Oryctolagus cuniculus: one gene and its partners. The protein of the gene in region 1 interacts with the protein of each later gene in a pairwise test. Links are inferred from orthologs where the notes say so. Each region holds a gene or a part of one and is shown on either strand. Other genes may lie near its edges.

The links. The genes of interacting proteins can lie anywhere in the genome.
Region 2: the proteins of DMD (region 1) and TRAF3IP1 interact in a two-hybrid assay, tested with the Homo sapiens proteins (2 studies listed by BioGRID and IntAct). The link is inferred for Oryctolagus cuniculus from reciprocal best matches to the Homo sapiens genes DMD and TRAF3IP1.
Region 3: the proteins of DMD (region 1) and CTNNAL1 interact in binary tests that used the Homo sapiens proteins (3 or more experiments, as listed by UniProt). The two-hybrid records come from large-scale screens. The link is inferred for Oryctolagus cuniculus from reciprocal best matches to the Homo sapiens genes DMD and CTNNAL1.

Annotation. Positions count from the first base shown.
Region 1 is NC_091453.1:19,806,242-19,813,848, reverse strand, and holds the start of DMD (dystrophin), read left to right. Parts: upstream 1-2,804; 5' UTR 2,805-3,590; coding exon 3,591-3,621; intron 3,622-7,607. UniProt on the Homo sapiens protein: Anchors the extracellular matrix to the cytoskeleton via F-actin. Ligand for dystroglycan.
Region 2 is NC_091434.1:2,096,777-2,104,659, forward strand, and holds the start of TRAF3IP1 (TRAF3-interacting protein 1), read right to left. Parts: upstream 5,031-7,883; 5' UTR 4,914-5,030; coding exon 4,791-4,913; intron 1-4,790.
Region 3 is NC_091432.1:212,713,501-212,721,140, reverse strand, and holds the start of CTNNAL1 (alpha-catulin), read left to right. Parts: upstream 1-2,610; 5' UTR 2,611-2,741; coding exon 2,742-2,882; intron 2,883-7,640. UniProt on the Homo sapiens protein: May modulate the Rho pathway signaling by providing a scaffold for the Lbc Rho guanine nucleotide exchange factor (ARHGEF1).

The DNA.
Region 1 (7,607 bases):
AGAAGGAAATAGGAAGTTAACAATCAATGGGAGTAAAATCTCACCTAAGCAAGCTGAGTAAATTCTAGAACTCTGCTGTACAATATTACATCTGTATTCAATAACATTGGATGTACACTTAAAAACTGTTAGAGGGTATAGCCATAATAACATTTTATTGCAATAAAATAAAATTATTAAAATAATATATTAAGATAGCAAATAAACCATGTTTAATGCCAGTACTCATTAGGGAAATTCAAATGAAGGCCATGGTGATTTAACCCTACATGCTTAAGGCTAAAACAGAAATATAAAAGTGAGAACATCAAATGCTGATGAGAGGGTAGGCATTTGACCTAATGACTAAGACACTATGTGACATATTTCAGGGCCCAGGTGATACCTAGCTCCACACCTGACTCCATTTTCCTTCTAGTATGGACCCTGGAAGGCAGCAATGATGGCTTAAGTAGTTGGATATGAGAGACCTGGATTGAGTTCCCCACTCTGGGCTTTGGCTCCTGGCCCAGGGGCCAATGGATATATTTGAGTGAACTAGTGGATTGGGGAGTTTGTTCTTTCTCTCATAAATAAATACTTTTCAAGTGCTGGCAAGGATGTTAAGAAATTGGATCACACAAACATTGCCAGTAGAAATGTAAAATGGTAGAGTCACATTTGAAAGTGTTCTGTCGGTTTCTAAAAAAAAACTAAATATATACTTCCCATAAGGCCTAGTAGTAATACTCTTGAGCATTAGTTTAGATAGATGGGAACAAAAACCTGTACATTATTATTTTTGAGCTTTATTTGTAGTAACCATAACCTAGAAAAAAGTAAAATGTCCTACAATAGATGATAAAACTTTCATAGAATGGAATGTATGATAAACCATAATAATACTAAGCAAAACAAATCAATCTAAAAAGGTAATATGCTGAATAATTCCATTTATCTAACAATTTTGAAATGATAAGCTTATAGTGGTAGAGAACAAATTTGTGAATTGAATGTCAGCATTTAGGACAATTGGTAAGGGTTGTTAGTGTGACTTAAAGGGTTTGCATGAGGACTGTCTTATGGTAATGGAACAGTTGTCTACTTGACTGAGATTGTGGCTACACAAATCTGTACTTGTGAAACTATTATTTATATATATATATGCATATATATAATATTAATGTCAACTTGCTAGTTTTAATATTGTATTACAGTTATGTAGGACGTAGTCTTTGGGAAAAACAGGGGGGAGGTACATAGGACCTCTATACAATCTTAGCAACTGCCTAGGAATCTGTAATTATTTCAAAATAAAAATGAATTTTTCACAGTCCTTCTCTGCCAGTAGTTCAAAACAGGAACTTGAGCAAGCTCCTTGACCAGTCATCTTTATAATGGAGCTCCTAAGACCTAACTGATTTCATTATTGTGATGAGTAAATGAGAGAAATAAATGACAAAAGCCACAGAAAATAGTGACAAGGTCTGTACAGGAGTTCACTGTATTTGGGTTAAATGTTTTCTTATATGCCTTTCTCTTTAAAACCTTAAGGAAGGTATATGTATTCCACACTATGCAGAAGTTATTACAGATGCCAAATAAATTCTGATTACTGAATAAGAATAAAAGATAGTTAAAATGTATCAGGCATTCAAAAGCTTTCTTTACCCAGGGCACATTTTTGGTATATTTGGAACTACAGTTATTTTTAGAAACATATGCTTCAGGGTTTCTCAAAGTTGATGAAGCATTAGAGTCACCTGTAAGACACAGAGTGTTGGCTCATACACCAACAGTTTCTGATTTTCCGGGACTTGGGTATACTTGCTTTCTTTAAAGTTCACATGTGATACAGAATAGCCTAGTTTGTGAACTCAAGAACTATACATATGCCTTGTCTAAACATGAGTTTATAGAAAACTCAAAGTACAAGATGTAAAAGAACTTATACTCTGGACAACATTGTCCGTGAAAGTTCAGGGAGATACTTATGCTAATGAGCAGATATGAATCCAAATCAGCCCCAAAACATTTTTTTTCATTTTGTTTTAAGAAACTTTTGCTTATATGCATATCTCTACACTAAGGAGAGAAAATGAGATGGCCCATGGAAATGGTGTTTTTAATCTATTTTTAATCATAGTGATTTACATAAAATTACCTACAATTAAAATTAGACTTCATGTTTTACTTTATATAGAATTTGACAGGCAAAATGGCAGTATTATAATGATGGCATCCTAAATATAAAATTTATAATTGACTATTAATATAAACATTATTGTCTGATTCAATGTGTCATTTTTATATTTATCCTTTATTTATTTCTGTGCCAAGCAATTGAAAGCTTGACATAGAAAAATGAGTCTGTCACTTTAACAAATGGTACTATAAAAACACTCAAACAAATAGTTTTAGTAGGGATTATTATGATAGCAACACGAATATTTTTCTAGAAAGTGTTACCAATGTTTCCTATAAATGTTGGGCTCAGTTGATAAATAAAAATAGTAAGGAAGAAGATGAAGTCTTCCTTTGGCAGTGAATGATTTACAAACATGCTGGATGACACATTGTATTGGATACAGGCAAAAAAAAGGCTCTGTTGAGAAGCATTAAGTGATCATTAGTTAAATGCGTAAGAGAATGATGTTTTAATAATTTGCACCAAAGAAATTTAACAAGGAGTCATTTGTTAGTAAAGAATTCTTATCATAACCACAATTAAAATGCAGCATTTTAAAAGCGGTTTTGTTCCCTTCTAAGTGCTCTTTATTTTAGCAGAAAACTTGTTCCATGAGACTAACACACATTCTGCCTTCAGAACTTAGCTGCTACATTCTGCTGTTGCTTCTCTTATTCAGACTGTTGCAATCATCCATATACAACTTTTGATTGGATCCTGATGGTAAAAATTAACTTTGGTAGACAGTGGATACATAATGAATGCATAGATCATTCTGGGCATACCGTTGTATTCAGTAGAGTGAAGTTTTGGGGGTTCTTGGAGGGGAGAAAGAAAATCATTTAAAAGTTCATTCTGGATCAGAATTTTCAGCTCTGTTGTTTTAGAAATTTATGTAATGTTCTAGAAAATATTGTTATGGTTTGTTACTGAAGGCTTTTTGTCTTCAGAAGGCTTTGAGAGCAAGTACTTTATCCACTGTGCTATTCTGGTTGGATACTGATCACAACACAGTTGAGCATTATTTGAATTCACTGGGCTTTCCATGCTGGGAGCACAACCTTATATGTAGTGTCCATGGGCAGTCCTATTATGGGAAACCAACTTGAGAGAAAAGGCGGGTCACTTGCTTGTGCGCAGGTCCTGGAATGTGAAATATCCAAGGGCCTCTACAGAATCCTGGCATCAGTTACTGCGTTGACTCACTCAGTGTTGGGATCACTCACTTTCTCCTTACAGACTCAGAACTTGGAGGCAATTGCCTTCAGAGAAAAACAAATAGGAAAAACTGAAGTGTTATTTTTTTTGAAAGCTGCTGAAGTTTATTGGCTTCTCGTCATTCCTAAGCCTACTGGAGCAATAAAGTTTGAAGAAATTTTTACCAAGATTTTTATCACAGCCTTGATATATACTTTTTTTCCAAATGCTTTGGTGGGAAGAAGTAGAGGACTGTTGTAAGTACAAAGTAACTAAAAATATCTCTTACTGTGGTGTAACTTTTTGTTTGTGATAATCTCAATGATTAAGCAGGTTGATTTTAAATTATGGCAGCTGCTCGTGAATAATCTTAAATGTTCTATATACTGTATATATATGTATATATACTAAGGTGTATGTACTTCCCATTGGGAAAACTTTCAATAAGAAATGAGGTATATTTGGGTTTTTTTCAATATAGGCAAAAACATCTTTCTTCTTTAAGAAATCACTAGATTAACAGAAAATGTATAACAGGTCTGGAGTATTAGTACAGAGCAGTTGATTTCTGTGAAATAGTTTCTATATATATGAGTTATTATTTTGATTATTTAATACTTGTGTATTTAGTGGTGGTTCCATGTAGAGTAGTGACCTGACATATATTCTCAGTGAATTAACTGCTTTGTTGGAATGATATACAGGCCTAAAGATTAGAATAATGTTATGTGGCATACCTTGGTGGGGGGACAAAGAACAAAATTGCGTTGTGATGGATAAATGACAGATGCGAAAATATTGATAAAGGTTTAATTTCCTTTCTCACATTATATTTAGTGTTTTGAATTCTTTTTTATAGCATGAGAGATTTTTTTTTTTTTCAAATAAGTATGTGATCTACACTGGCAAATGACCAGTCTCTTGATGAGAAAACAACATAAAAACTTGAGGGATGTCTCATCATATTTTGTAGAAAACTGATCGTGTTGTTTCATGACTGTTGTGACCAACTAATTCAGTAAATATTTTTATTAACTTCTTAAAAAAAGAAACTATTTTGTTTATGTTTAAGAAAGTCATGATGACTAATGAAGAATTTAAAAATTAACTATGGCACAACAGTAAAAATGATATATAAGGACACTGTGTCCCAAAGAGGTGGTTGAAGGAGATTATCTTTTTCTTTTCCTGCCTTGACATGTGAATTATGGTCATTCTGAAATAGATATGAAGGTAATGTCTATAATTAACAATGAAAGATTAAATCTCTCCAAATAAGTAATAATATATCACAACTTCTACAAAAAGAGTCAGAAGTTTTGCCACAGAAAATTTGTGAAGTAAATAAGCACCATTCATTTCTTAATTCACATTAGATGGTACTAGATTTCATTAATATGACTTTTTTCATATTGTGTCCTTCAAAAATTTCTGTGGTGAGCATCAGCATCACTTCCTGATTGAAAAACTATTCCATCTAGTAGCATTACAAAAATACACATAGCTACACATGTATACAAATGCATATTTCCCTTGCTATTTCTAGTTCTTTCATATCATTAATCTATCAATATTGTCAAACTTATGATTGATTATCTATAGCTAATAAAATTAAAATACACCAATACATAGAGATATTTGGAAAGTATCACAAATATGCAATTCTGGAATGAAGTAAGATAAATCTATACTCTTCTTTGTCATAGATATTCAAATAACTTTTTAATACATTAGAATTTGAAAAGTTGACCTTAAAAAAAATGCTCCAAAAGGAGCATTTTAAAAACAGCAAGTAATACCTTTGCAACCTGACAATGAGTTTAAGAGAAAATAGAAATATTATCAGGGTTATATTATACATTAATTTTTCTATTTGACAACATGCTATTATTTGAGTGTTTAAACATTTGAATCCACGTTGTAAAATTGCCTTAGTATGAAAAACTTAAAAGAGCACATTTGATTGCTTTTTGACCAAAGTAATGGCCCTTTAAGAATATCACTGTAGTAATACACATATTGTTTGCTTTTAGAATTACTCAAATAATCCATTGGAAACAACTGCTCAAATAATTAATTGCAAATAGACATTTCATTTGAATTTTTAAATGATGCAAAGCATCATGAGATGTAATAAAATCACCTTTTAAAATTTCATTTGCAAAGCCCTCTTAGGGCATTTAACTATGAAAAAGAGGTTGCTGAACTGAATTGATAACATAGTTTTTAAGATAATAATCTTTTGGTGTCTCTTACATGGCATAACATTTTGGAAAATACAATAGAGCATGTTATTTAGATGTTACTCTTTTTTTAAAGGATGACCAACTGAGTTTTGCAAATTTAAGAAAAAAAAATTCTAGTTTGGACAGAGCTATCAATACAGCTTCCTCTTTAGTACTGTAGTATTTATTTGAAATCCTTGTAGTCCACCATATGCTACATGTGAACAAATTGTCAAGTTCTTAACTACTTATGTGATTTAATAAAATAGATTAAAATCTTTGTCTTGGAAAGTCAAGTGCTTTTTAAAATTCTATTTTATCTTTCATCAAGACTTTATCTAAACAGTAAAACAGACTGATATCCTAACCTCTCCCTCAACTTCCAACTTCTACTGTAATATTTTTACTTATTAAAAATAATTTTTCATGTTTTCATCAAACTATTCTTTATTTCACATCTACAAGTTATGTGTGAGTGTGGTGTGAGTATATGTGTTTATATATATGTAAATGCACACAATTTTAAACCACAAAGTTCTAAGTTTCAGAGGCTGAACAATGATTGGAAATTTCTTTCTTTTTAAAAAAAAAATCTATTTACTTATTTGAAAGGCAGAGTGACAGAGAGAAGGAGAGACAGAGAAAGAAAGATACCTTCCATCCACTGGTTCACTCCCTAAAGATCTGCAACTGCCAGGTGTGGGCCAGACCAAAGCCAGGAGCTAGAAACCCCATCCTGCTTTCCTACATCCCAGGTGCATGAGCAGGGAGGTGAATCTGAAGCGAAGCAGCCAGGACTAGAAACTGCACTCCAGTATGGAATGCTGAGGGCACAAGCAGTGGCTTAACCCACTGCACCACAACTCTGGCCCCTAGAAATTGATCTATCTTTAAGGGTAATTTTCTTTTCATGTTTTGGTGATTTTTTTTATGTTAAAGACACATCATTTTTAAATAAATTGACAAATAATGCTAATATATGTCCTCTGTCCAATAGAACATAATTAATCAAGAAGGAACAAATACAGGACTTGGCGGGGGTGAGATTATACAATTTGGAGGGGGATGAGCTGTTTTAAGAAAAATAATAAATAAATTATGAATAGCAAATCAGCTAGGGCCTTGGGAAGGGCCCACATAATTAAAACTTTAATAGTTTCATGGGAAATCACCTATGTTTGAAGAGACTCATGGAGTAAATCTTTTCCCAGTTACATTTTAAAATAAAATTAATACTAGTTATATTTCTTTAAAGCATATATTATTTCTCAAAGACAACCTTTTATTTAATGCAGATTAGAGAGTTGAAAGAATTTATAATGATAGGAATTTGACATTTCTGCCTTTCATTATGAAAATATACATTGATTAAAGTGATGTCAAACTCAGTTAATGGAGGCGGTGCAGTTATTTGAGATATACAGGGTATGCAATTTGAAGCCAAGCCAAATCACAATGACAAGGAATAATGATGACCTTGGTTTATTTTTATACAGCACATTCAGGTTTTGATTGGATTCAGAGAGAGGCAATGGTTTTCTTTCTCACACTGTTCTGCTGTCGTCCTCGGAGGTTTGTATTCTGTTATCAAGGCAGTTGGTTCATATTGGAACATTTTTTTGGGAAGGTCATAGGACACAGTATGGAAAAAAGACATTCACTGAAACCAAGTTCAATATTAGAATTTATGAAAATGTTTCTCTTTGAGTAGTATGTTCTACACAGAATACTGTTCTTCAAAAAACAGAAAAAGAAGCAAACATAAACTTTGTGGCCTTTACTGCCCCACTTAAAACAGCCATGAAACTTCTTTGCTTTTCATGCTATAAAATATAAACACATGTTTGGAGTTCCAAAGTTTTATTTTAATGGCAGATATGGAAGTTAAAATGGCAGCATCATAATGTAGTTTACTCTTTTGCCTACTTTAGAGGGGTTTGTCCATTTAAATTCCATATAGTATTGTCCCTAAAATCTTTCTAAAATTTCAAGCACCCTCTATTTAATATTAAAAGTGA
Region 2 (7,883 bases), on another chromosome or scaffold:
CAGGGTGTCACGGCAGGACACACACACACACACACTGCACACTCCCACAGGGCGTCACGGCAGGACACACACACACACACACTGCACACTCCCACAGGGCGTCACGGCAGGACACACACACACCCCCACACTGCACACTCCCACAGGGCGTCACGGCAGGACACACACACACACACACTGCAACTCCCACAGGGCGTCACGGCAGGACACACACACACACACACACTACAACTCCCACAGGACGTCACGGCAGGACACACACACCCCCCACACTGCACACTCCCACAGGGCGTCACGACGGGACACACACACCCACACTGCACACTCCCACAGGGCGTCACGGCAGGACACACACACACACACCCACACTGCACACTCCCACAGGGCGTCACGGCACCACACACACCCACACTGCACACTCCCACAGGGCGTCATGGCAGGACACACACACACACACTGCACACTCCCACAGGGCGTCACGACGGGACACACACACACCCACACTGCACACTCCCACAGGGCGTCACGACGGGACACACACACCCACACTGCACACTCCCACAGGGCGTCACGGCAGGACACACACACACACACTGCACACTCCCACAGGGCGTCACAACGGGACACATACACACCCACACTGCACACTCCCACAGGGCATCACGGCAGGACACACACACACACACACTGCACACTCCCACAGGGCGTCATGGCAGGACACACACACACACACCCACACTGCACACTCCCACAGGGCGTCACGACGGGACACACACACACACACTGCACACTCCCACAGGGCATCACGGCACCACACACCCCCACACTGCACACTCCCGGAAAAGGTGCTGGGGAGAGGCCAGAGGGACACTGGCCTGACCCCGAGGCCCCTGCCGCCGCCCAGGCACTCGGACTCGGGTAAGGAGCCCTGGAGCCCCACGGCCCGAGGACAGGAAGGACTGACCGCCCGGCATCGCACGAGAGGCACTCGGCGCCGCGGAGGGGACAGGTTCGGACAGAAAAGGGCCCTCTCGGCCCGTGTTTCCAACACTGCAGCCAGCAGTCCCTCCTCTCCCGCTGCCCTACTCACTACGCCTGCACTTCTGTTCCCTCACCACCCGCCCCGCACACAACCTGCACACGCCATCACCACTAAAACCAGTCTTAGCTGGTGAGCTCCTGCTTCCCCCGCCCCGGCCCGGGCCTCTCAGACCAGAGCTTCCAGCGTGGCAGAGCACTGTGCAATCCGTACAGCGGGTGCAAGGAGCGCTCGTTCCTGATGAGACCCAACACCAACCACCAGGCTGCGAGGCATGCGGGGGGACGGGTCACTGCTCGGCCCTGGACAGCACGTGGCGTGCAGGGGGACGGGTCACTGCTCGGCCCTGGTCAGCACGTGGCGTGCGGGGGGACGGGTCACTGCTCGGCCCTGGTCAGCACGTGGTGTGCGCGGGGACGGGTCACTGCTCGGCCCTGGTCAGCACGTGGCGTGCGGGGGGGACGGGTCACTGCTCGGCCCTGGTCAGCACGTGGCGTGCGGGGGGACGGGTCACTGCTCAGCCCTGGTCAGCACGTGGTGTGCGCGGGGACGGGTCACTGCTCGGCCGTCAGCACGTGGTGTGCGGGGGGGACGGGTCGCTGCTCGGCCCTGGTCAGCACGTGGCGTGCGGGGGGACGGGTCACTGCTCGGCCCTGGTCAGCACGTGGCGTGCGGGGGGACGGGTCGCTGCTCGGCCCTGGTCAGCACGTGGTGTGCGCGGGGACGGGTCACTGCTCGGCCGTCAGCACGTGGCGTGCGGGGGGACAGGTCGCTGCTCGGCCCTGGTCAGCACGTGGCGTGCGGGGGGACGGGTCACTGCTCGGCCGTCAGCACGTGGCGTGCGGGGGGACAGGTCGCTGCTCGGCCCTGGTCAGCACGTGGCGTGCGGGGGGACAGGTCACTGCTCGGCCCTGGTCAGCACGTGGTGTGGGCGGGGACGGGTCACTGCTCGGCCCTGGTCAGCACGTGGCGTGCGGGGGGACGGGTCACTGCTCGGCCCTGGTCAGCACGTGGCGTGCGGGGGGACGGGTCACTGCTCGGCCGTCAGCACGTGGCATGCGGGGGGACGGGTCACTGCTCAGCCGTCAGCACGTGGCGTGCGGGGGGACGGGTCGCTGCTCGGCCCTGGTCAGCACGTGGCGTGCGGGGGGACTGGTCACTGCTCGGCCCTGGTCAGCACGTGGTGTGTGGGGGGACGGGTCACTGCTCGGACGTCAGCACGTGGCGTGGGGAGGGGACGGGTCACTGCTCGGCCCTGGTCAGCACGTGGCGTGTGGGGGGACGGGTCACTGCTCGGCCCTGGTCAGCACGTGGCGGTGGGGGGACGGGTCGCTGCTCGGCCCTGGTCAGCACGTGGCGTGCGGGGGGACGGGTCACTGCTCGGCCCTGGTCAGCACGTGGCGTGCGGGGGGACGGGTCACTGCTCGGCTCTGGACAGCACGTGGCGTGCGGGGGGACGGGTCACTGCTCGGCCCTGGTCAGCACGTGGCGTGCGGGGGGACGGGTCACTGCTCGGACGTCAGCACGTGGTATGCGGGGGGACGGGTCGCTGCTCGGCCGTCAGGAGTCCTTTACTCTGAGACCTGCTCCAGGACACGCACCAGGACAGCCCCACGCTAACGCCAGCCTCCTCGGGAATGAAGCTACAGCCCAATCTGCACCAAGTTGGCTACGGATTAACCCAGTCTCCAGTGCACACCAAGTCCCGAGAGCCACGGCCGCGGTCCTCGGCACAGGCGGGATGCCCGGAGCACCTGCGTGCCCGTTCCTGGCACAGCCTCACCGGGCCCCGCCCTTGGAACCCTGAGCAGGGACTGTGGGCAGCGAGGATTCCTGCAGACGCTGAAACGCGAACGCGAGGACGCGAGCAGGCCCCTTGGACACCGGCTCCCCGCGCTCGGCCGACCCTGTTGTCCCAGCGTGCCCGCCGTCTGCCAGACCAACAAGGCGGCAGAGTGCATCTCAGCACTGGGCTGGGACACGCAGGCCAGCAGGCGACTGGGAGCAGGCAACCCACCCCACTCAGCCCGTCCTGGCCTCCATAACCCGCCCCACACAGCCCGTCCTGGCCTCCATAACCCGCCCCACACAGCCCGTCCTGGCCTCCATAACCCACAAAACACAGCCCGTCCTGGCCCCCGTGACCCACCCCACACAACCCGTCCTGGCCCCCATGACCCACCCCACACAGCCCGTCCTGGCCTCCGTGACCCACCCCACACAGCCCGTCCTGGCCTCCGTGACCCACCCCACACAGCCTGTCCTGGCCTCCATAACCCACAACACACAGCCCGTCCTGGCCCCCGGGACCCACAACACACAGCCCGTCCTGGCCTCCATAACCCGCCCCACACAGCCTCCTGGCCTCCGGAGTCGGGTCCCTCTTCCCGCCGCGGGCAGCGCCCTCTTCCCAACCCGGCGGTCACCAGCCACCTCCCCCCGCAGCTCTGCACTTCAGGGAGCAGCAGGACGAACAGCAGACCAGAGTGGAGGGCTCAGTGCCCCCACCCAGGCCTCCGGGCAGGGAACAGCACCTGCCACCTCCCCAGGGAAGGCGGCGCAGCACCCTGCCTCCATGCCATGGGGCTCCCCCACAGCCGGCCCCTTCCCCAGACACCGTCCAGGCCAGGCCCTGGGGACGCAGGCGGGCTCCCGGCTGGTGACACGCGCTGGCACACTTACAAGCTAAGGTAAAGTCTGTGCAGGTCGGGCGGCCGAGCTGTTGAGTGAGCTGAGGGCCCCCAATGGTCACACCGCCCCAGAGTCCACCTGCTTCCTAGCCCCAGAGCACTCCAGTTCCCAAGGGCCCTCGGTGCGCCATGGAAACAGCACCCCCACCCCGGCCCCACCCCCGCGCTGCCACACACCTGACGGTTGCCAGGAGCCATCCCAGACTCCCTGAGCAGGGAGCCTGCGCCGGGGACTTCTGGGCGCTCAACTCACCGCGGCCGGACCGAGCCCGCACCCACACCCACACCCACACCAGCCTCACTCGAAGGCGGCCGGCGGAGCAGCGCTAACCGCCACCCGCAGGGCTCCGCCCCTGGCGGCTGCAGCGTGGGGATCCTAACACCCTGACTCCGGTCTCCACGGGCCCCGGGGCAGGGCGCGGTCCCAGCCACAGCCCGGCCCGCACCGGGGAGGGCGCGGTCACGGCCCCGGCCCGGCCCCAGCCCGGGCCCGCACCGGGGAAGGCGCAGTCACGGCCCCAGCCCGGCCCCGCACCGGGGAAGGCGCGGTCACAGCCCGGCCCCGCACCGGGGAAGGCGCGGTCACAGCCCCAGCCCCAGCCCCGCACCGGGGAAGGCGCGGTCACGGCTCGCCCCGCACCGGGGAAGGCGCGGTCACGGCCCCAGCCCGGCCCGCACCGGGGAAGGCGCGGTCACAGCCCCAGCCCGGCCCGCACCGGGGAAGGCGCGGTCACAGCCCGGCCCCGCACCGGGGACGGCGCGGTCACGGCTCGCCCCGCACCGGGGAAGGCGCGGTCCCAGCTCGCCCCGCACCGGGGAAGGCGCGGTCACGGCTCGCCCCGCACCGGGGAAGGCGCGGTCACGGCTCGCCCCGCACCGGGGAAGGCGCGGTCCCAGCTCGCCCCGCACCGGGGACGGCGCGGTCCCACTCGCCCCGCACAGGGCGCCCAGGGGCCGCAGTCCCGGCAGGGGCCGCCGCGGCTCGCCCACGCCCCGCCTCCCGGCCCCGACGCAGGCCCGGGTCTCGGCCCCCCCGGCCACCGGGCCCCGGCGGCGCCCACCTCCGTGATGATGTCGTGCAGGTAGCGGAACGGGGGCTTGTTGAGCAGCTTCTCCGTCAGCGGCGGCCTCCGGATCACCTTCCCCAGCGCCTCCTGCGTCCGCCGCACCACCGCGGCGTTCATGGCGCCGCCCGCCGCGCGTCCGGCCGCCCGCGCCCCTCAGGCGGCCCGGCCGAGCCTCAGCCCGGCTCCCTGGCCCCGCCGGCCCCGCCGCCCGGTGCCGCCGCGACGCGCAGCGCGGGTCCCCATCCCACAGTGCACCGGGCCCGCCACGGCGCCTGCGCGGAGGCCGCGGCGCGCCCGGTCGCTAGGGCGGCGCGGCCTTGGCAACGAACGCCCGCGCGCGGGACGCCGGGAAGCGGGGTCTGTCCAGCGGCCGGCGGCGGGGCCGCGTCCGCGGTGACCGTCCGAGGAAGGCGCTCCACACCGGGCCTCTCAGCTCCCGAGCGCTTTCGCCGGCTCTGGCTCGTGGGCGGAGCCAGGACGCGGTTATCCCGAAAGCCGCGCGGCGGGCAGTGCCCTGTCCTGCGCGGTCCTTGGCCGGTTTTCCCTCAGACCTCCACCCTGCCGCCGCCGCCACGCATCCCGCGGGGCAGGTGGGCAGCGAACGGGGCCCCGGGCTCGCCCCGCGGCGGCTGCGGGCTCCGGGGTCTGTGTGGAGCCTCTACCTTGGTCTGCCATTCTGCGTGTGCACCTGCACGTCCCCGGGGCGGGCACGGGGCGGGACTGCCCGGTTCCAGTCCGGCTCCCTGCTGATGTCCACCTTGGGCGGCGGCAGGGGACGGCCCGGTGCCCGGGTCCCTGCTGTCCGCGTGGGAGACCCGGATGGAGCCATTGCGGGCGTATGCGGGTGAGCCAGTGAATGGAGAGACCGAATAATGTATCTTTTAAAGTTTCACCTGGTGTCCGTGTGCCAGAAACGGCAGGTGCGCGTGGGCCGGAGGCCCAGGAGAAGCGGGATCGTGCAAGCTGATGGACACAGCCAGGCTGGCCCCGGGAGCTGATGGAGCCTGGGAAATTGGTTGTAAGTCTCCGCGGTGCCGGGGCAGCAAGTGTCCGTGAGGCTCGTGCGGGTTTCCGCTTCCCCGCGCCCTTTCGATGGAAGCATCCTGGCCTGCTGTTGGTGACGTGGGCAGGCAGACAGGAGAAAATCGGCTAGTTGGCGAGCTGGAAGACCACGTCTTCACACCCCTGTGAGCTCACCCCTTCCTGCCCCCACCTGTGCGCCCACTGCCACTCAGGCTACGTGACCACGCGCCTTTGGAAGTGGCTAAAAGGCCCGGAGCTCGCTGGGCCCTTCCTTTGTTGGCCGTTGCCTTCGGGGCGCGTGCCCGTTCCCGGGGCTGGCTCCTGGCCTGCTCTCTGCTTGCTGTGGACACAACTTAGCCTCTAGACGTCTGCTCTCCGAAATGAAGCCCTCACCCTCCTGCACATTTCTCTCACTGAATAAAATCCTTAAAACTTACCCTGTTGTCTGGTCTATTTGGGCCCATATTCAGAATTCTCTGAACACAGGGCAAGAGCCCACAGCTTATTCATATTGAAAAATTATTAATATTGAAAAATATTAATAAGCAGGGCAGTGTCATTGGGAGAACCCCGTCTCATATTTCTCTTTGCACGGCTCCGCTGGCAATGGGTGCGCCTGTGTTTGCTTGTCTGGAAGTCTGGGTGGACAGTCCCCCAGTGGGGAGCAGTCACCCAGACTGTCCACCCAGGGCGGGCCCGTGGAGCCTTCACACGCCCTCCCGCGTCTCCGAGCTTCTCCCTGTCGGCCCCCTGCAGCCACTCCAAGGATTCTCTCCAGGAATGGCCCAGCAGCGCAGGATTCTGGGCTGGCGGTTTCTTCTTTGACTCTGTGCCTTCAGCACATGCTGCGTTGGCTTTTGGCTTCCATGGTTTCTGGATAGAAGTCTGCCGTCATTCTTATTCCCGTTTTTCTGTTATGCTTCTGGTTGCCTTCAAGATTCTGTTTTTATCATTGATTTGCCAGACATTTCCCATTTTGTGGAGATTTTTCCCTAACATGTATATTTGATTATTATTTACTTGCATACATAATTATTTACATATATAAATTTTTGATAGTTTTTTTAAATAATGTTACCACTACCACAATCAAAAAAAGAAACAGCCCTTGACCCCTGAAAACATTTCTTCCTGCTCATGTGTAGTTCGACTCCTTGACCCCCAACCCCAAGCAACTGGTTTCTGTCATAATTTTGCATTTTCCAGAGTTTCATTTAAATGGAATTATAAATTGCATAGTCTTTTTTGGATTTTACTCCTTTTCTTATAATGTTTTTGAAATGTATCCGTGTTCTTACATATATTCCTGCACCATGCCTTTTTGTGACTGAGTTGTACTTCATAACTCATAGCACTTTGTCCACTAACCTGTGGATGAACATTTAAATTGCTTTCAGTTTTTGGTTGTTAATGAATAAGGCTGCTATGACTTCACATACAAGTCTTTGCATCAATATAAATGTTCATTTCTCTTGAACTGGAAGAATATGTTTTATATCATGTTTTTTAAAATCTTTTACTTACTGGAGAGATGGAATAGCATCTATCCTCTAATTCACTCCCCAAATGCCCGAAACAGCCGGAGCTGGGTTGAGGTTGAAGCTGGGAGCTGGAGACACAGTGTGGGTGGCAGGAATCAAATGACTGAGTCGTCACCGAGGTCTCAGGATCTGCCTTAGCGGAAAGCTGGGGCCGGGGCAGGACTCAAGCCCGGGTTCCCCGACATGGGACACAGGCTCCCTGACCACCGGGCTGAACACCCACGCCTGCCCTTGTTTTCAAAGTGGCTGCGCCTGTACCCCTTCACACCACTTGTATAGGAAATGCCCAGTGGTGGGGCCGGTGCTGCGCAGTGGCCTGCGGTGCTGCCTACCATGTGGGTGCTGGTTTGTGCACTGGCTGCTCCTCTTCCAATCCAGCTCCCTGCTAACAGCCTGGAAAAAGCAGCAGAAGATGGCCCAAGTGCTTGGACCCCTGCTGCCCGCCCGGGAGACCCAGACAAAACCCTGGCTCCTGGCTTTGACCTGGCCCAGCGCTGTCTATTGCAGCCATCTGGGGAGTGAA
Region 3 (7,640 bases), on another chromosome or scaffold:
AAATCAGTATTTGTGTTTAGTTTTGCAAGTTTCTCAAGGAAACTTAGTGTGCAGATACAGTGGTGATATATTGACACCACATTTTAGTAATGCTTTTGTACGGCACTTTATACTTCTCAGACTTTTTCTGGTGACAACCCTCTGTGATAGGCAGTATTATTCTCATCGTACAGATGAGGCACTGGAGGCTCTGAAAGTGTATTTTTGTGATTTTTTTTTTCTCCCAAATTTATACAACAAAATGATGGGGCCAGAATTTGCAGAACTTCTGACTCCAGGTCCAAAGTTCTTTGCTCCTCACTTGGCTTCTTATTATCTAACTTTGTGTTTTTCAAAGGCATGGAGGCAGATCTTAGAGGAAAATCATTTTGGCTTATTACCAAACATCATTTTTTTCAGTAGTGCAGTGACCCAGAAAGTGTAACTCTTGTTGTAGCTGTCCCAAAGAAAACTCTTCTTTGTCCTTTGTAATGGCACTTGATTAAGTGATTGGCATGTATTTCAAATACCATTTGGTTTTAAAACCAAAATTGGATATGCCCTTGTAATTTCTTATGTACCTCTTTGAAAATCTATCGTCTCTATATACTCAGGCAAAAAAGACATGGTTTAAAAATGAAAAAGAATATTCCAATACAACCATAAATATTCCTACACAGAATACTGTTTCTTAGCTTTAACTTGCTTTGACAACCTACTAATGTAACTTCTTTGTAAATGTAAAGTATTTATATTTTGAAATAAAATTACTGGTGTCGAATGAATCAGGTGGTAAACAGTCTTTTCTCTGTTGAGAAACGTGATCTGTAGCCAAACTTCGATGAATACATTCATCTGTCCCTTACCTTTTCCTCTTGATGCCTGCACTGAATTTTTATGGAGTATATTCCACTTCTGTAAGCCATGGTGTGTCTGGGGAGTGAATGCTGAGTATCTTAAAGAGGCCAGCAGGTCCATGGCTGAAGCGGAAGCCCTCAATGCACGGGCAGCAGGAGCCTTGGGGGGAAGGATGTGCTCAGGTGGATGACTGAGGACTAAGAATTGGAGGAAAGTTGAATTAAGGATAAGCAAGCCTCAGTGTGGCTATCTTCAGGACCAAAGCTACCCATGCAGCTCTGGGGGGTGAAACTGAGCTGCCAAATGGAAGCACCACAAAGCACGTTTCGCCAATTTCAAAGAGCTTAGTGACACCTCGCGTGGACAGTCACCAGCTCAATCAATTTGAAAGTAACGACATAGACATGATCTTGCCAAGGTGTTAGGGTGGGCCAGCCACTCTCAGCCTGCTGTCTGCTCTGATGGGTTCTCATTGGCAGATACAGAACTTCACAAAACATTTCTTCAGGTTTCTGCCCCTTGCATAAGTCTAGGACTCCTTCACAAGGCACATGCTTCTGACACCTTCCTTTTCACTTGGCTCCTGGAAACCCACGTAAGCTCAGGGTTGTGCTTGGAGAACACAGATTCCTAGCCTGGCTGGTGAGTTCAGTCAGAAATAAACACTTGGGGACCGGTGCCATGGTGCAGTAGGTTAATCCTGCGGCACTGGCATCCCATGTAGACACCAGTTCTAGTCCCGGCTGCTCCACTTCCAATCCAGCTCTCTGCTATAACCTGGGAAAGCAGTAGAAATGGCCCAAGTCCTTGGGCCACTGCACCTGCGTGGGAGACTGGGAAGAAGCTCCTGGCTCCTGGCTTTGGATCAGTGCAGCTCCAATCGTTGCGGCCATCTGCAGAGTGAACCAACAGAAGGAAGACCTTTCTGTCTGTCTCTCCCTCTCAAAGTCTGTAACTCTACCTCTCAAATGAATAAAATCTTAAAAAAAAAAAGCAGTCCTTTAAAAAAAAGAATAGACACGATGTTTCCATTCAATGAACAGTTATTAAGAAACTGCCTCCGTGAAAAGTAGTTTCAAAAAGTAGTATTGTTGAACAGTAGTTTTATTTTAAATTCACTTTAATTTAAATTCCCTTTTAAAGAGTTAAGTCTAAGCAGCAGCCTGAAAGATACACTGTCTTCTTGAGTACCCAGACATTCCTTGAGTGAGTGCATTATCAAATGTTTCATTTTCAACCCAGCTCAAAGTGTGTTGTGAGAAATGTGCTTAGAAAATGAGCCGGGGGTAGAGGAGAATGGAGCTTCTGGAGAAGCCCCAGGAAAATCGTCCAGATTCCCGCCTGGGACCCCGCAGACCTGACTGCTATGCGGGTTCAACCCCAGTGCAGCTTCCAGAACATTGCGGAAATTCAGATTAATTTAGGAAGAGTCACCTTTCCAGACCAAGAGGTAACTTGACAGGGATGGCTGTTCTTGTCCAGGTGAGAGGCCCGTAGCCAGGTGTCATCTTTTCTCTCCCTACCCTGGCGACAGGTGCTCTGAGCCTCCCCTAGGGTAGAGAGAGGGGCCACAGGGCCTGTGGTGGAGCCATAAGGCTAACAGACCCGGGTCCTGGAGAGCGACCCTAGAAGCAGCACGCAGGGGCGTGGCGGGGCCGGGTAGGCGGGGTGGGAGGGCCCTGGTGGGCGGTGTGGAGGTGGGGGCGGGGCCTCGGGTGGAGGGTAGACGGGATTGGGCCGAATGTGGGCGGGGCCTTCTTGGGTGTGGTGGGCGGGCCTGAGGCAGGGGCGGGGCTTCAGGGCGGGGCCTCGGGTGGCGCGGGTGCGCTGCGGCTGACGGGCGTGCTGGCGGCCAGAGGGCCAGCGGTGGCGCGGAGTCCGGGTTGCGCGTTGCGCCGAGGACCATGGCCGCCTCTCCTGGGTCCGCCGGCCTTGGCGGCGCCGGAGCTGTCCACGGCTCTAGCCCGTCGGGCTTCGCCTTCGACTCGGGACTCGAGATCAAAACGCGCTCGGTGGAGCAGACGCTGCTCCCGTTGGTTTCTCAGGTGAGTGGCGCGCGCCCGAGCGGCTCCTGGTCTCCCTCCCGCCGCGGCCCGCTATGGCGGCGGCTGCTCCCACGACCCGGCCCCCCGGCATCCCGCGTCGGCGCTGCGGCGTGGGTGTCGGTCCCTGGAACCAGGGTGCGGACCTCGCCGAGGCGCAGGGGGAATGGGCCCTCCGAGACTCGGCGGCGGCGTGACCCAGCGCGTGGAGAGCGGGGGCTGTGGGGTGGCGGGGAGAGCCCAGCAGGTGCGCTGCCCGCCCTGGGCCCCGGCGCCCATCTGCGCCGGCCGAGGACGCTGCTTCGCGGGGCGAGCGGCACAGTCCAGCGCAGGGACCCCAGCGTCCTCCTAGTGGCCGCTCCCCAGCCCACTGTCGTCGCCCGTTCGCATCTCCAGTTGGAACCCGGAGGGCCGGCTAGCGGCCAGGGCACTGCCGCCGGCCTCTCAGTGCCGCGCGCTCTCCTGAGGCCTTTGTCCCTCTCTCCGCCTGTACTGGCTCCTGCAGCTCCGATTCACCGGTTCCCGGCCCAGGCCCCTGCCCCTTAACCTGCCTGCCCACGTGTGTCTGCTTTTGTCCGGCCACGAAGTGAGTCCAGATGCCTTTTCCCAACGACCCATCTGGGGCCGTGTGAATTATTGCACTTACCTGTAGTAACTCCAGAGCGGGAACCAGCTCACTGGCCAGCTTCGTTTTGGAAAGTTTTTGTTACTTCATGCTGGGTTGTTCACAGCCCGAGGGCTGGGATTCCTCACCTGGATGCAGGAGGTGCCTGGCAAGCACTGTGGGGAGGTAAGAATGCAGCGCCTGCAGCAGGCGCTGGCCTTGCGTGACTCACACCTTTGTAACTCTTGGTTGACTCACACTAGGATTTTCAAGATTGTAGAGCCAAGAGGAATCTTGAATGAGCTGACTCTAAATTAAAAGATTCTTTGATGCGGCATCTTTGACACCTGGCCACCAATACTCTGCTTCAACATGGTCAGTGATGGGGAGCCTAGAACTGTTCCACAGAAGAGCCCAGCCCGGCAGATGATCGATTGATCGATCGATCCATCCATCCATCCTGGAAATATATATCTATAGCTGTACCTATATAGATAGGTTTATATTTAAATAGCAGTCATACAGGTCCCTTGATTCCTGTTATGCTGATTAAATAAGCAGCCCCATTTTCTCCACCTGCCTAGCATGGCTAACAGAGCAGTGTTGAGTGCCCCTACCCCCTGCCTATGTTTCTGAGAGAGACTCCCCTCCCCAGCAGTGGAGAGGAGTGTTGTGGTCCCTAAGTGTTGTCTCCTCTGCCCCTCCTCTCCCAAGAACCACCAGCAGAACAACCACCATCCAACACAGAACTGCTGGAACAGTTTTAAGAGACAAGGAAGACAGCAATAGAGTTCAGGTTTACAGCATTTAACTTGCTTATTTAATAGTCCATGTGCTAGACCATGTTCTGAGCACTTTGTAAATATAAACTCTTTAACACTCAGTAACCCTGTGATGTTACTATGAAGGGTCTTCAGAAATTTCATGGAAAATGGATTTTGAAGAAAACTGATTTCAAAAATGTTTTACACCAAAAGACTCATCTGAAAAAAATTAATTTGAGAGGCAGAGAGATGAGAGAGAATGTGTGTGAGATAGAGACCAACTGACAGACTAAGAGACCTCCCATCCACGGATTCGCTTCCCAAATACCTACAAAGGTCATGGCTGGACTGGGGCTAGGGATAGGGCTCCCACAGGGATGACCTGAACCCAATTACATGGGCTATTACTGCTGCCTCCTCGGGTCTGCAGTACCAGGAAACTAGAGTCAGGAGCCTGGACCAGGAATTGAATTCAGGAAATGTGATATGGAACGTAGGTGTCTTTTTTTTTTAAGATTTTATTTATTTACTTGAAAGAATTACAGAGAGGCGGGGGGGGGGGGGGAGGGAGATCTTCCACCATTGGTTCACTCCCCAAATGGCCGCAACAGCTGGAGCTGAGCCGATCCAGAGCTGGGAACTTCTTTCTTGTCTCCCACATGGGTACAGAGGCCCAAGCACTTGGGCCATCTTCTACTGCTTTCCCAGGCCACAGCAGAGAGCTGGATTGGAAGTGGAGCAGCTGGGACTCGAACCAGAGCCCATATGGGATGCTGGTGCTGCAGGCAGTGGCTTTACCCTCTATGCCACAGCACCACCCCGAAATATAGGTATCTTAACTGGCATCTGAAATGCCAGACCAAATACCTACTCCAACCTATCTTTTCTTTTTTGTACATTTTTTTGAAGTACCATCATATGTTTATTCTCTATGATATGGATGATGGCTAAGTATCTTTTTAAAGTGGTATTTGAACCCAGGCAGTCTGTCCCAGAGTCCGTTCTCTGAGTTACACTGTACATGTATATTCTATGTCTCCTCTAGGGGTTAAAAGCAGTTATGAGGTCATCTAGTAGTAGGTACAGAGAGGAGTTTGCACGGTGGAAAAATATGCTGAAAAGTTGCAATCTGGAGAATGGTAACTTTTTATGCTTTCACTGCTAAAAATGTATCAGTCCTGAAGCTCTGCATTATGTAATTCTGGAGCAAAAGAGGGTGGGGAGAGTAGGAAACCCCAGGAAGAAAAGTGTAAGTCCTTGCTGTAAGTTTACTAGAGGTCAATGCCAAAGGGGGAAAATAGCCACCCCCTTAAGCTCTTGTTCAGGGGCACAGCGAAGGTTCTGCACTCATACCTTATGTATCCATGACTGTATCTCTAATGCAATACCATAACTGATATTCCTAATGACTGACTGTACTTAAAAAGAAAAAGAAATTTTGCCTACAATCAAGAACCGTATAAAATATAGTCAGAATATTCTGTTACCAAAGCAGGGATATGTTGCATATAATCTGTTAGGACTTTAAAACTGCAGCTCTGGAAAGCCCATGTGTTCAGAAGGCTCATTTTCTAAGGCTGCTACATCATTGTACAACTGCTCCTCTTTCACCGTTTCATCACTAGGGTTGCCTAAGGATTTTAAGCAAGGATTTTATGCTCATGAGTTGTTGTCCTTTGAGGGGCTTATATTCTAGTTGGTAGAGAGGATGTGTATAGAGTAACTCATGCCAAGTATCAAATGAATATCATCAATAATAAGTGCTATAAGATCTCACGAAAGCCATGGATGAGTCAGGAATGATACCACAGAGAAGGCAGGGTCCTCCTCCTCCTCTTCTTCTTTCTCCTCCTCCCCTCCTCCTCTCCTGTCCTCCTCCTCCTTCCCCCTTCTCCCTCCCCTCCCCTTCCCCTCCCCCTCCCCCTCCTATTTTAAGATTTATTTATTTACTTGAAAGTCTCCATATGGCTTCAATGGCCAGTGCTGAGCCAGGCTGAAGCCAGGAGCTTCATCTAGGTCTCTCACATGGGTAGCAGGGGCCCAAACACTTGGGCCATCTTCTCTTCCTTTCTCAGGCCATTAGCAAGGAGCTGTATCAGAAGCAAAGTATCCAGGACTCCAAGAATATCTACAGAAAACTATCAGTTAACACCATTGCAACAGACAAGTTTAAATATTTCTCATAAACTCAGAAGCAAGAGCAGGATGCCTGCCTTTACAGCTTCTGTTTAACGTTGTACTAGAAATCCTAGCCAGAGCAATAAGACAAGGAGAAGAAATAAAAGTGTAAAGATAGGAGATGAAAAATTAGAAGTCTCATTGTGATGTAATCTGTATAGAAATCTCAAAAGTTCAAGACTATAGGTTATTAAAGTCAATTGCAGACATTTTTCAAAAGAGGAAATCCAAATGGCCAACAGACACATGAAAAAATGTTCAAAATCACTAGCAATCAGGGAAATGGAAATCAAAACCACAGTAAGGTTTCATCTCACCCCAGTTGGAATGGCTCACATACAGAAATCTACCAACAACAGATGCTGGCGAGGATGTGGGGGAACAGATCCATACACACATGACCTGTACGCTAACTCAATGAATGGAAATTGGCATTGCTGGCCAGTGGAGAACGGAAGAACTTTTTACTGTTTTTTTTTTAACTTTTATTTAATAAGTATAAATTTCCAAAGTACAACTTTTGCATTATAGCGGCTTTTCCCCCCATAACTTTCCTCCCACCTGCAACCATCCCATCTCCCACTCCCTCTCCCATCCCATTCTTCATCAAGATTCATTTTCAATTCTCTTTATATACAGAAGATCAATTTAGTATATACTAAGTAAAGATTTCAACAGTTTGCACCCACACAGACACACAAAGTGTAAAGTACTGTTTGAGTACTAGTTATACCGTTAATTCACATAGTACAGCACATTAAGGACAGAAATCCTACATGGGGAGTAAGTGCACAGTGACTCCCGTTGTTGATTTAACAATTGCCACTCTTATTTATGATGTCAGTAATCACCCTAGGCTCTTGCCATATGAGTTGCCAAGGCTATGGAAGTCTTTTGAGTTCGCTGACTCTGATCATATTTAGACAAGGTCATAATCAAAGTGGAAGTTCTCTCCTCTCTTCAGAGAAAGGTACCTCCTTTGATGGCCCGTTCTTTCTGCTGGGATCTCACTCGCAGAGATCTTTCATATAGGTTTTTTTTTTTTTTTTTCCAGAGTGTCTTGGTTTTCCATGCCTGAAATACTCTCATGGGCTTTTCAGCCAGATCCAAATGCCTTAAGGGCTGATTCTGAGCCCAGAGTGCTGTTTAGGACATCTGCCATTCTATGAATCTGCTGTGTATCCCGCTTCCCATGTTGGATCATTCTCTCCCTTT